2 linked regions of the Struthio camelus genome follow. The protein of the gene in region 1 interacts with the protein of each later gene in a biochemical or structural test. Links are inferred from orthologs where the notes say so. Each region holds a gene or a part of one and is shown on either strand. Other genes may lie near its edges.

Region 1 (7,401 bases):
TCTAAGTCAAAAAAGTGGCTTAGATCACGTAAACTGCCCATCAGTTAAATTGACCTAGCTGATTTCATACATGTTCTTTGCCTCTATCAATTATGACATGAACTCTGCTTTATTTTCAACCTATGTTTATTTTATTTTTGGGAATATGCTATAAGTCCATGAATTCATTACCCACCTAGAACAGAAATAAACTTGCAAAGTAGATACTGTTTAGATTCTAAATCTAAATCCGTAGTTTTCCATTGGACTCAAGTTTCTACCAATAAAACTCTCAAAACTCTACATTTCTGCTGCTTGACACACAACTTTTTCAAACTATCACATCTTCAAAATGGTCAGGAACTTTTCACAGCTGTTTTTTCAGCGTTCACATTTTAGGCATCCACACAAGTTGTAACAGTGCAATCCAAAACTGTTACGTACACTTCAAGAACTCTCAATGCTCTCAAAACAAAGGATACGTCAGTGCTGCCAGACATTGCCCTAACAGTATGTCCAAATTATTCCCCAGGCATGCAGAACAGCAGGAGCTCAATCTTCCTGAAAAGCTTCAAGAGGAAATAAAAGCGTCTAAGCAGAGCTCCGTGGTTACGGTACATAGGAGACTTCAGGGCACTATCACAAGTCAGGACAACATGGAGATAACTGACTTGGGCAGAAAGGTGTCCCGTTCTGACAAGATGAAATAAGACCTTTTTTCCAACCTTTTTCGTCATCTAATTTAGCCATTTTTTTCCTGCTGCTTCTCCTGTCTAACTCCTCCTGTGAACTGTATAAGAACCTCAAATCGCCAATTCACAACTAGTAATTCTGTTCAGCAGCAAAATGACTGGAAGTAATCTAACTTGAGACTCTAACCTTGAATATTTAAGCACAGCAGTTTGAATATTGGTACTTTTATCACTGATTTCAGAACGAGATGATAATAATTCTTCTAACAGGAAGATCAGCAAAATGTCAGGAGTCCCATTAGTATTTCTTCTGAATGGCAGATTTAAATCATTACCTGGAAAATACAAGAGGCTTCACTTAGACTGATGGAAGATTCGACCAGACAGGAAATAATTATTTCTCTATAACAACAGTGTACATGGGGTCACTGTTCCAAATCTTACCAGCAATAAGTATTGTTATTTCATAATTCAAAAAGCATTTCTGTACCTTGATCATACTAAATATTTTATTAAAAAGCATTCTATTAACCTTAATATTACCTCACAGGCCACTTGTTTCACAAGGTTACAGTGAATTATTATAAATTCAGGTACTTGTAGTTAACCCAGTAAATGGAAATGTTCTCCTAAACCTAACATGTATAGCAGTTTTAAGTGTTCAGCAGATGCTACTCAATTTGCTAAACAATATCAGACTGCAAAATTGCTCTTACTGTTGATAGATCAATAATGACATGGGATAAGTCATTATCTCCGTGGCAACAGAATTATAACTGTCAGAGGAATAATGCACATGTTGCTGCTGCGACTCTTACAGGCATGCCTCGGCTTCCTCACACAGCTGCTCTCTCTGCAAGCCTGGTATGCCCAGAGTACTAACAACCAAGGGCACCTCTTGGACTACAGAGAACGAAACTATAATAGTGGCTACATTATTCTTGGAAGAGCACATCCTCACAAGGGTTTCCACACACTTCAATTTTATATCCTTATTTCATTTCTTTTATTTTCTCTAAGCATCTCCTTGCATAAATAGCTAGACTGAAATTTGGGAAGGCAAATACTATGAAGTTCTCTTGGCAGCCCAACATTTTCTAGGTTGAAGATGTTTACCTGTCTTTCAGAAAAGAAAAATCTTTCTCTTTTAACTCAATTTCCATTTAATTCCCTCCTCACTTCCTAGGATCTTAAAATGGCAAGATTCTTTTTGCTGGATCAAAACTGACAAAGTAGCTCACTCGGTCTATTACAGGTAACACTTAAGCCTCTGCCTGTGGTATCATACCAGTTCAACAAAAACCAGAATTATTTTTTCCTTGCAGAATTTACTAAAATATCATTTGGTAGGAACTGGATGCTACTTATTTTACACATATTGAAGATCTTGCCCCATGTTAGTCACCGTACATGAACTGCAGAAAACACTAACTTTTCTATGTCTTGATCAGCATGACTGTGCTTAGCTCTTTACAGTCTACCTGGCAGCAAAACATACTGATGCACAAAATGCACGATATTTATCAACAACACTGTAACTTCACCTCTTGATTTTTTATTAAAAGTATTTCTGTGTAAGTACAGATACTCTCAAATACTACACTTTTTTGTTTTCAAGCATTTATAACCTATTCACATGGGAAGGGAGTGTAGTTTTGCCACAATTTTCTTTGAAATTTGTTCTAATTAAATTGCAATAAAAGACCACAGAAGCAATGCTTGAAGTTAAGTCAGTTTAGAAATTCAGTGTGAAAAGTACATCTCACTTTTTCTGAGCAAGAGTTTCTGTCTAGAGTATTCTTCAAAGGTTCAAAGCATTTTTTTTGTTTAATTATGCAGAAAATGAAAAATGAGTTGTCACTCAATTGTCAGTTTGATTCTACAAAATGAAAAACTAGAAAACCCAGCCTTCTGAATACTGAAGAAAAGCTTCAGTAAAGCTTTCACATTAGCGTTACCAGGGGAAAAAGTTCTTTTCCTTAAAAAAAGCATGTCAAGTAATATAAATGGCCATTAACATACCAGAAGTCTAAATGGCAGAGCCACAATGCATACTAGTACTCAGGAATATACTTTGATTTGTTATTTGTGGAAAACATTGATTTTGTGCTTTACTTAAAAAACAAACAAACAAAAAAACCCACCCTTCAACACTTTCTCTCTACTTTCAGTACGGACCTAGCTGCTGTAGAAGATTTCTATGCTCTGCTCCAAATCTTTGGCAAAAATTCAGAATCAGCCCAGGAGCGCTAACAAAGTTAGTGGCATACGTGGCTATTTCCAGGACACATTCCAATTTCAGCAGTTTCCTGACTGATACAGTGTGGTTCTGCTGGTCTTTCAGCAAACCAGCCAAGCCTTTCGCACATACAGTTAAACATTCCAGCCTTTGCTCCCATCTCTCCATCTTGCTGCAGTCTCAGCCAGTTGATCCAGCAACATACCAAGCTGCACAAAGGTATCAGTTACTTTAGTACTAGCAGCTAGGACTTATTTTAAGTGAAGCACGCAGAGAACTGCCAGCTCCTTGATAATATCAACTGCCATATTCAGTATGCCCACCAAAACCAAACAAATCAAGCCCAACAACTGAATGCAGTCAAAATGGTCAGTAGAAACAAACAAAGGCACCAAGAAGACCGACACTTCTAGCATGTGTTCCTCCAATGTTTCTTCCACCTACCTAGACAAAAGAACCAAGAAGTACTGATTCAACAGTGCTGCTCTTTTTAGGACACGCTTCTGCCACTACAGCTTACACGTATTTCTACACAGTTCACCGCCAAAGGGCTTTACTCTGCACAGGCAAAAGATACACAAGCGCCCACCCTTTCCGCAGCCACACTTTCCTCACGTTTCATGTCAGCATTTAACGTTGTTTTAGAGCCTCGATCACCTCCCCCCTCCCCCAACCCCAGGGAGCTCTACCACAGTCTGCATTACCAGAGACCTGACTGAAAGAAACCAGTCTCCCGTCCTCAGCGCTGAGAGCGCTGGTTTTTATTAGCCACAACCCCCATGCGTCGAAACAGACCCCAAACGCAGCGCCCGCTCCGCTCCGCCCGAGAAGCGCCAGGCCCTGCCCGCACACAGAGGCTCCGGCGGGCACCCAGCACCGACGAACCGCCGCCCACGGCCTGCCGCGCCACATGGCCCAGACCGGCCCGACCCAGCTCGGTCCGGCAGCGGGGACACAGCAGGCCCGCATCCTCCCAAGCGGGCTAGGGGCAAGGAGGCCGGGCCGGGCCGGGCCCCGCCGCGGGCCGTGAGGCGGCTGAGAGGCCGCAGGCGCCTCTGGCCGCACCGCCACGAGCGCGGCCGTTACCCGGAAGCGGAAAGAGCCGCGCGCTCACCCCGCCTACGGCTCCCCGGGCAAAACACGGCCCTGGGGCAGCGCGACCAACAGCGGCTGGGGAAGGGGAGGCGGGATTAGCCAAATTAGATCGGAGTGGCAGATGCCCCACCCAATGCAACTGCGGCAACTCGATTCCTCCACAAATAGGAAAGCAGGGTGTCTTTAGCGTTGACGGGTGGGAGCAGGCTGGCTGGCTCCTAGTGCTACTGGCTAGTGGCGTTGATTGGCAGGCAACTACTCCTATGCGGAAGAGACGCTCCTCGTGACCTGTTCTCCTCTCTACCAATAGGCGGGCGGCGGCGGGGGCTGCGGGCCGGCGGAGCGCGGCGGGGGCAGCAGCGGCCGCGGGGCAGGATGAGTGGGGCCCTGCGCGCGGCCTGGCGGCTGCGCGGCGCCGCGCGGGGCTGGGCCGGGCGGCGGCGGCTGAGCCAGGCGGCGGCTGGCGGGGCCGAGGACGGCGGCGGCGATGGCGGCGGCGGCTCGGGGTCGCGGGAGGCGGTGGAGCGGCTGGTGCGGGCGCACCCGGTGGTGGTGTTCATGAAAGGCAGCCCGGCGCAGCCGCTCTGCGGCTTCAGCAACGCCGTGGTGCAGATCCTGCGGCTGCACGGCGTGCAGGACTACCGCGCCCACGACGTGCTGCAGGACCCCGACCTCCGCCAAGGTCAGCCGCCGGGCCGGGCCGCGGCCCGTGGGGCGGGTGTCGCGCCGCGAGGGGTCACCTTCAGTCACGGCCTGCGCGGGGCTGCGGCTGCGGGGAGTTGAAAATCGCCCCGAGGCCCGCGCCGTGCCCCCGTCTGCGTGTCCCTTCCCCTCGACGGTGTGGCGAGGCGCGTTTGTTACGGGGATCAGCAGCCCTTTGCCCGCAGGGTGCTCAGGCCACGCAAACCCTGCCTTGCGCAGTGTCCGTTTCCATACCCGCAACGCCCCCCAGGGAGTCCGGCATGTATGACTCTGCCCCCAAAACTTACTTTTGTTACGTTTTCTCACTTTCTCGTGCGCTATTTATTGCTCGAAAAATTGGGTCGTTAGATCACCAAGCTGATAATTATGTGGTATTCCTTTTATTTATTTATTTTTTTCCTTCAGAGATATCAGTTTCTTTTGCTTTCTTTCTTGTTTTCTGCTTCATAAGAAGGCTTACATCCCAGGGGCTTGGGGGTGTGTGGAATGCAAAGCATATTGCAGAGATGAAGTTCAGAGATTGCCCTGCCTAGATGTGTCTGTTTGACTTCTGTAATGCTTATTGCGTCTCTGAGCGTTTTAATTACATACAGAATACAGTTATGCTTATAGGGAAATTCTTGGAGACCGGGCTTTTCATGCCATGCTGCTTTTCCTAATTAATAGATACAAGATTGTATTAAGAGACTCCTAAAATACTTCATTTTCTAATCAGAATTTTTATTTTCCTGGCAAATACAACAGTATTGTGAAACTTGATGGGTAGCTTGGAAAAGCTCAGGCTTGTGCTGTTGTGTTCTCTGCTGGCACTGCCAGCCGAGGATCTCTACTACTTTTCACAAAAGTACAAAATTATGCTTGCTTTATGCCAGTTACTTGTGCAAGAAATATTTATTAGAAGCTTCACTATTACTACTCAAGTGGTAGGAACTACCGTATATGAGGTATTTTTGCCGATTTGTAGAATGCAGATTCTCTGCTCACCCGATGCTTTTGTGCTATCTTTCCCTGTTGGAAATGCATAGTTGGCCAACCGTTGACGTTGCATGTGGTTATTTGAGAAAGTTTTAAACAGAAAAAGTATGTAGTAATTGGTCTTGCAGGTGCATAGCATTAGTATTTCAGAGAATATGCTAAAATGTGTATTAAATCTCCGTTCTGCAGAAAAAAGTAGTGCTGGCATGTATCAAGTGACTTCCCATATGTTTTTGATCTCAGCTGACTTAGTTTTTCATTAGCTGTTAGCTGAAATGCTGATTCTCTAGTCTTGCTCCCCTAAGATGCTTTTCGATTCACAGCTATAATTGTATAAAAACTTAAATAGTAGAATTTTGCTGTGCTTGTGACATGCTTTATTAATGAAGGTTGGATTTATTAATTTATTTAAATAAATCTCTTTACCAGCCTTTGGCAAGTGAACAAATCGTGGTAGTTTTCTAAGCTTTAATGCATATTTACATTTATTAATCTTATGGTTTACTAGAACAAATTGGTAAATTACAAGACCTTTGTGCCCGCTCCCCAATTCATTGAAATCAAGTGTTCAGCGTTTCATTTTTGGTAGAGAGGGCTTTCATGAACACTTGAATGGGCAATGCTTAGGTCAGTTACTGTCTCTGAGGATTGGACCACGTGGATAGATTTGTATTTTTTTTTCTATGAAACAAGAACATTTCCCTTTTGAGCATAATTTTTTTTCTATGAAACAAGAACATTTCCCTTTTGAGCATAGCAAACGTTTCTTCCAGATGATCTTTGACTTGTGTTAGGTGATCTGAGAAGTTAGTGCCCTCCTGGGTACCTGAGCTTGAAATTGAAATTAGTGGTTTACTCTGGATTGTTTGGATAATTTTGGATAACTTTGTTTCGCACTGAATGCAGCAGCTGAGGATGCACTTGCACATTTCTGATCGTTGTTAGATGCTGAGAGGAGTATATTCTGTTCTGTTCCCTTCCTTGCAGCAGCTTTGGCACTTTCCCCACTGCGCAGAGAGCCAACTTAGTTTATTAATGGGTTTCTGGGCTCGTGAGTTGAACTAGCTTTTTGTAGTGTGCGGTGAATGCTAGAGCCAGCATGAGAGATGGAGCCTTGAGATGAGGACCTGGGGAATAGCGTCATTGCTCTCAAGGCCAGTGGCTGTTATATTGCTTCAGCTGTATTACCTATTGCACCCTGAAAAGTCAGTATATGCTTCTGTCAGTGGATGGCTGCCTCTGTCAGAGGAGAAGGCTGGGCTGCTGTAGCTCTAAATTTTCCAGGGTGATTTACCTGTGATTGAAGGCCCTCCTAGTCTGTTCCTGGATCTGGAGATATAGCTATGAAGATATCTAATGCACCTCTTCAATTAGAGAAACTACTGCTCTGCATAGGAGAATAGTTTGATAATTCTTTAATCTGACACAGCATTCATGAGTGCTAATGCTGGCAAAAGACAGACTGAGAATTTGTCACTGGAGCTGGGGAGTTGGGGTGGCAGTGCTCTAGATACCCTTTTCAGTAGCCATTTGCATAGACTCTGGTTTCACAATCGGCTTTAAATGTGCCAGTTCAGCTGTCAAGCTTTAAATCAGATCTGTGGATTGTGGTTTTACAAAACAAACAAGCAATATTTAAAAAACAGAAGCCTACAGTTTTTTCACTGCCTCAGTTGTGTGAATGAGCTCTTTGCAGCTGTGTAAGTGCAGCTGGAAAGC
Region 2 (6,918 bases), on another chromosome or scaffold:
AAGATAACCCGGCCCTCACAACGTGCAGGGCCTGGTTGAAGGTAGGTAGGGGGGGAAAAAACCCCCCAAGAGCTGTCTTAGCCCTCTTGGTCTTCTTACCGGAGATATCCACGACTCTGATGGCAGAAGCCCGGGGGAATTTCTCGCGCAGGACTCGGGCCACCCTGGCCTCCCCATCCGTCTGCGAGCTGAAGGGTCTCCAGGCGCTGCAGCGCAGCAAGAGCTGGGGGCGCCGAGGCAGCCGTCAGCGCCGCAGGCAGCACCCCTCGGAGCCGGGACGCTTCCCGCAGCAAACATGGACTTGGGGGGGGGGGGTCCCTTCACCAGGGCTCACCCCCAACCACTACCAAAGTTGGGGACCATCACCAGCATGGGGGGGGGTGGTATCAGAGGGGGCAGGGTGGGGAGAAGGTCCCTTCACTGTTACCTGGGGTCCAGGGCACCAGGAGAAGGGGAAGGCAGCCAGCACCAGGACAGGATGGGGGGCACCAGGAGAAGGTTTTGGGGGGGGGGGGGGGTGTGGCCTTCACCATGGACTGGGATGGGGGGGGGGGCTCCTTCATCATGGACTGGGATGGGGGGGGGGGGGCTCTTCCAGCACGGACTGGGATTGGGGGGGGGGGGGGCTCCTTCACCATGGACTGGGATGGGGGGGTGCCCCGGGGGGGGGGGGGGCGCTCCTTCACCATGGACTGGGATGGGGGGGGGGGCACCTTCACCATGGACTGGGATGGGGGGGGGGGCTCTTCCAGCATGGACTGGGATTGGGGGGGGGGGGGGGCTCCTTCACCATGGACTGGGATGGGGGGGGGCTCCTCCAGCACGGACTGAGATGGGGGGGGGGGGCGCCTCCTTCACCATGACAGGGATGGGGGGGGCGCCCGGGGGGGGGGGGGGCGCTCCTTCACCATGGACTGGGATGGGGGGGGGGGGGCTCTTCCAGCATGGACTGAGATGGGGGGGGGGGCTCCTCCACCATGGACTGAGATGGGGGGGGGGCTCCTTCACCATGGACTGGGATGGGGGGAGGGGCGCTCCTTCACCATGGACTGGGATGGGGGGGGGGGCTCTTCCAGCATGGACTGAGATGGGGGGGGGGGCTCCTCCACCATGGACTGAGATGGGGGGGGGGGGGCTCCTTCACCATGGACTGGGATGGGGGGGGGGGGCTCTTCCAGCATGGACTGAGATGGGGGGGGGGGCTCCTCCACCATGGACTGAGATGGGGGGGGGGGGCTCCTTCACCATGGACTGGGATGGGGGGGGCGCTCCTTCACCATGGACTGGGATGGGGGGGGGGGCACCTTCACCATGGACTGGGATGGGGGGGGGGCTCTTCCAGCATGGACTGGGATTGGGGGGGGGGGGGCTCCTCCAGCACGGACTGGGATTGGGGGGGGGGGGCGCCTCCTTCACCATGACAGGGATGGGGGACGCCCGGGGGGGGGGGCGCTCCTTCACCATGGACTGGGATGGGGGGGGGGCACCTTCACCATAGACTGGGATGGGGGGGGGGCTCTTCCAGCATGGACTGGGATTGGGGGGGGGGGGGCTCCTTCACCATGGACTGGGATGGGGGGGGGGGGCTCCTCCAGCACAGACTGAGATGGGGGGGGGGGCGCCTCCTTCACCATGACAGGGATGGGGGGCGCCCGGGGGGGGGGGCGCTCCTTCACCATGGACTGGGATGGGGGGGGGGGGCTCTTCCAGCATGGACTGAGATGGGGGGGGGGGCTCCTCCACCATGGACTGAGATGGGGGGGGGGGCTCCTTCACCATGGACTGGGATGGGGGGGGGGCACCTTCACCATGGACTGGGATGGGGGGGGGGGGCTCTTCCAGCATGGACTGGGATTGGGGGGGGGGGGCTCCTTCACCATGGACTGGGATGGGGGGGGGGCTCCTCCAGCACGGACTGGGATTGGGGGGGGGGGCGCCTCCTTCACCATGACAGGGATGGGGGGCGCCCGGGGGGGGGGGGCGCTCCTTCACCATGGACTGGGATGGGGGGGGGGGGCTCTTCCAGCATGGACTGAGATGGGGGGGGGGGCTCCTCCACCATGGACTGAGATGGGGGGGGGGGGCTCCTTCACCATGGACTGGGATGGGGGGGGGGGGCACCTTCACCATGGACTGGGATGGGGGGGGGGGGCTCTTCCAGCATGGACTGGGATTGGGGGGGGGTGGCTCCTTCACCATGGACTGGGATGGGGGGGGGGGGGGCTCCTCCAGCACGGACTGGGATTGGGGGGGGGGCGCCTCCTTCACCATGACAGGGATGGGGGGCGCCCGGGGGGGGGGGGGCGCTCCTTCACCATGGACTGGGATTGGGGGGGGGGGGCTCTTCCAGCATGGACTGAGATGGGGGGGGGGGGCTCCTCCACCATGGACTGAGATGGGGGGGGGGGGCGCTCCTTCACCATGGACTGGGATGGGGGGGGGGGCACCTTCACCATGGACTGGGATGGGGGGGGGGGGGGCTCTTCCAGCATGGACTGGGATGGGGGGGGGGGGGCTCCTTCACCATGGACTGGGATGGGGGGGGGGGCTCCTCCAGCACGGACTGGGATTGGGGGGGGGGCGCCTCCTTCACCATGACAGGGATGGGGGGCGCCCGGGGGGGGGCGCGCTCCTTCACCATGGACTGAGATGGGGGGGGGGGGGCTCTTCCAGCATGGACTGAGATGGGGGGGGGGGGCGCTCCTTCACCATGGACTGGGATGGGGGGGGCCGCCGGGGGGGGGGGCGGGCTCCTCCACCATGGACTGAGATGGGGGGGCCGCCGGGGGGGGGGGGGCGGGCTCCTCCACCATGGACTGAGATGGGGGGGCCGCCGGGGGGCGGGCGGCTCCTCCGCCGGGACCGGGGCGGGGGGGGGGGCACAGAGAGACGGACCCCCCCCCCCAGAAGCTGGGAGGAGGGAGTCCCGGGCAAGGACAAGGCGCCCCCACCCCCTACCCTGGACTGGGCGGGGGCACACACGGACGGACGGACAGACTCACCGGCCGGCGGCCCAGCAGCCCCGCGCCCGCCCCGGCCCCGGCGGCGGCCATAGTGGGCGGCGCCCCGCGGGGTCACGCGCCGCCCGGCCAATGGCAGCGCGCCCCGCCCACGGGGGCGGCACCCGCCCCGGCACCCGCGGCGGCGGCGGCGGCGGCCGCGGCGGCGCCCTCTGGCGGCCCGGCGGACCCGCGGCGCTCCGCACCGCCCCCGCGGGCGGGGGACCCCGCGGATAGGGACCCCATGGACAGGGGACCCCCATGGACAGGGGACCCCCATGGACAGGGACCCTCATGGACAGGGACCTCCATGGACTGGGGACCCCCATGGACAGGGACCCTCATGGACAGGGACCTCCATGGACTGGGGACCCCATGGACAGGGACCTCCATGGACAGGGACCCTCATGGACAGGGGACCCTATGGACAGGGAACCTCCATGGACAGGGGACCCCCATGGACTGGGAACCCTATGGACAGGGACCTCCATGGACAGGGACCCTCATGGACAGGGGACCCTATGGACAGGGACCTCCATGGACAGGGACCCTCATGGACAGGGACCCTCATGGACAGGGGACCCCCATGGACAGGGACCCCATGGACAGGGACCCTATGGACAGGGACCTCCATGGACTGGGGACCCCCATGGACAGGGACCCTCATGGACAGGGACCTCCATGGACAGGGGACCCCATGGACAGGGGACCCTATGGACAGGGACCTCCATGGACAGGGACCCTCATGGACAGGGGACCCTATGGACAGGGGACCTCCATGGACAGGGGACCCCCATGGACTGGGGACCCTATGGACAGGGACCTCCATGGACAGGGACCCTCATGGACAGGGGACCCTATGGACAGGGACCTCCATGGACAGGGACCCTCATGGACAGGGGAACCTATGGACAGGGGACCTCATGGACAGGGACCCTCATGGACTGGGGACCCCATGGACTGGGGACCCTATGGACAGGGGAACCCTATGGACAGGGACCTCCATGGCCAGGGGACCCTATGGACAGGGACCCCCATGGACAGGGGACCCCATGGACAGGGACCTCCATGGACAGGGGACCCTATGGACAGGGGACCCCCATGGACAGGGACCTCCATGAACAGGGGACCCCCATGGACTGGGGACCCTATGGACAGGGGACCCCCCATGGACAGGGACCTCCATGGACAGGGGACCCCCATGGATAGGGGACCCTATGGACAGGGGAACCCTATGGACAGGGGACCCCATGGACAGGGGACCCTATGGACAGGGACCTCCATGGACAGGGACCCCGCGGATAGGGACCCCATGGACAGGGGACCCTATGGACAGGGGACCCTATGGACAGGGACCTCCATGGACAGGGGACCCCATGGACAGGGACCCTCATGGACAGGGACCTCCATGGACTGGGGACCCTCATGGACAGGGGACCCTATGGACAGGGGACCCCATGGACAGGGGACCCCCATGGACAGGGACCTCCATGGACAGGGACCCTCATGGACAGGGACCCCGCGGATAGGGACCCCATGGACAGGGGACCCCCATGGACAGGGGACCCTATGGACAGGGGACCCTATGGACAGGGAACCTCATGGACAGGGACCCTCATGGACAGGGACCTCCATGGACTGGGGACCCCCATGGACAGGGACCTCCATGGACAGGGACCTCCATGGACAGGGACCCTCATGGACAGGGACCTCCATGGACTGGGGACCCCCATGGACAGGGACCCTCATGGACAGGGGACCCTATGGACAGGGGACCCCATGGACAGGGGACCCCCATGGACAGGGACCTCCATGGACAGGGACCCTCATGGACAGGGACCTCCATGGACTGGGGACCCCCATGGACAGGGACCCTCATGGACAGGGGACCCTATGGACAGGGGACCCCATGGACAGGGGACCCTCATGGACTGGGGACCCTCATGGACAGGGACCCTCATGGACAGGGACCTCCATGGACAGGGGACCCCCATGGACAGGGACCCTCATGGACAGGGGACCCTATGGACAGGGACCTCCATGGACAGGGACCCCATGGACAGGGGACCCTATGGACAGGGGACCCCATGGACTGGGGACCCTATGGACTCGGGACCCCATGGACAGGGGACCCCATGGACAGGGGACCCTATGGACAGGGGAACCCCATGGACAGGGGACCCCCATGGACAGGGACCTCCATGGACAGGGACCCTCATGGACAGGGACCTCCATGGACTGGGGACCCCCATGGACTGGGGACCCTATGGACAGGGGACCCCATGGACAGGGGACCCCCATGGACAGGGACCCTCATGGACAGGGGACCCCCATGGACAGGGACCTCCATGGACTGGGGACCCCCATGGACTGGGGACCCCCATGGACTGGGGACCCCATGGACAGGGGACCCTATGGACAGGGACCTCCATGGACAGGGACCCTCATGGACAGGGGAACCTATGGACAGGGGACCCCATGGACAGGGACCCTCATGGACTGGGGACCCCATGGACTGGGGACCCTATGGACAGGGGAACCCTATGGACAGGGACCTCCATGGACAGGGGACCCTATGGACAGGGACCCCCATGGACAGGGGACCCTATGGACAGGGGACCCCATGGACAGGGACCTCCATGGACAGGGGACCCTATGGACAGGGGACCCCCATGGACTGGGGACCCTATGGACAGGGGACCCTATGGACAGGGGACCCCCATGGACTGGGGACCCCATGGACTGGGGACCCTATGGACAGGGACCTCCATGGACAGGGGACCCCCATGGATAGGGGACCCTATGGACAGGGCAACCCCATGGACAGGGACCTCCATGGACAGGGGACCCTATGGACCGGGGACCCCTATGGACAGGGACCTCCATGGACAGGGACCCCCCCCATTTCCCACTCCCCACACACAGGAAACAAAAAGGGCTGCTGAATTTGAGTGCAAAAAATAAATATAAAATTTATTAAAACACCCACAATATTTTAAAGATATCAGGAATAATACATTTCACAAACCGGCTGGTTGTGTGTAACTCAGAATAAAATACAAATTAAAAAAAAAAAAGAGGGAAGGATCCATACTTGCAATTTTCAGGCCTCCTAAAAATAAATTTACCGAAACACTGGGGGCAGAGGGGGGAAGTGTAAGAAAAAACACCAACAAAAGGGGGGGGGGGAAATTATACAAAATAAAATTATCGGCATAAATTTACTGTCCTAGTAGTATCTACAGTTTAATACACATTAATCCTATTGCCTTGAGACATTGTAAGATCTACCGCCCGTCACTCAACCCCGGATAAAACTTCATTTCAAGTAACCACAGTCACAAGTCGACGAAAAAGAAAAAAAACGGGGGGGGGGAATAAAAGGAGAAAAAAGGAAAAAAGGAAAAAAAAAGAAAAAAAAGAAAGAAGGAAAAAAGAAAAAGGAAAAGAGGAAAAAATAAAAGAGGAAAAAAGAAAAAAGGAAAAAGGAAAAAGGAAAAAAGGAAAAGGAAAAAAGGAAAAAAAGGAAAAAAAGGAAAAAGGGGGGAAAAAGGGGGAAAAGAATAGGAAAAAACAGGTTAAATCTTCAAGTGTGAGTCACAAGGTTGCCTCCATTGGAGGCCTTGTCACCGAATAGGAAGTCCGAGGGACGAGCCACCCCGGCGGCCGCCGCCGCCCTCTCCGCCTCCATCCGCGCGCCGCTTTGCTTGGGAAAAATCCAACCAAAAAAGCGATGGCCGGGGGGGGGGGGAACAAACCAGAATTAACAGAAGCGCTCGCTAAAACCCCCTGGGGTGGGGGGGGGGTGGGGGAAACCCGACGGAAAGGGGACCGGGGACCCCCCCCCCCCGCCCAAAGCCCGGCCGCGGGCCGCCCGCCCCGGGGACGGACGGACGGACGCCACGGAGCCCAAGGGCGC

Evidence for each region. The genes of interacting proteins can lie anywhere in the genome.
Region 2: the proteins of GLRX5 (region 1) and BOLA3 form a complex in vitro, tested with the Homo sapiens proteins (4 studies listed by BioGRID and IntAct, with this or other methods). The link is inferred for Struthio camelus from reciprocal best matches to the Homo sapiens genes GLRX5 and BOLA3.

Annotation. Positions count from the first base shown.
Region 1 is NC_090946.1:67,511,394-67,518,794, forward strand, and holds the start of GLRX5 (glutaredoxin-related protein 5, mitochondrial), read left to right. Parts: upstream 1-4,378; 5' UTR 4,379-4,380; coding exon 4,381-4,687; intron 4,688-7,401.
Region 2 is NC_090968.1:1,073,239-1,080,156, reverse strand, and holds the start of BOLA3 (bolA-like protein 3), read right to left. Parts: upstream 3,096-6,918; 5' UTR 3,054-3,095; coding exon 3,003-3,053; intron 224-3,002; coding exon 100-223; intron 1-99. Other genes in the region: collagen alpha-1(VII) chain-like, read left to right, coding at 3,244-5,793. UniProt on the Homo sapiens protein: Acts as a mitochondrial iron-sulfur (Fe-S) cluster assembly factor that facilitates (Fe-S) cluster insertion into a subset of mitochondrial proteins. Probably acts together with NFU1.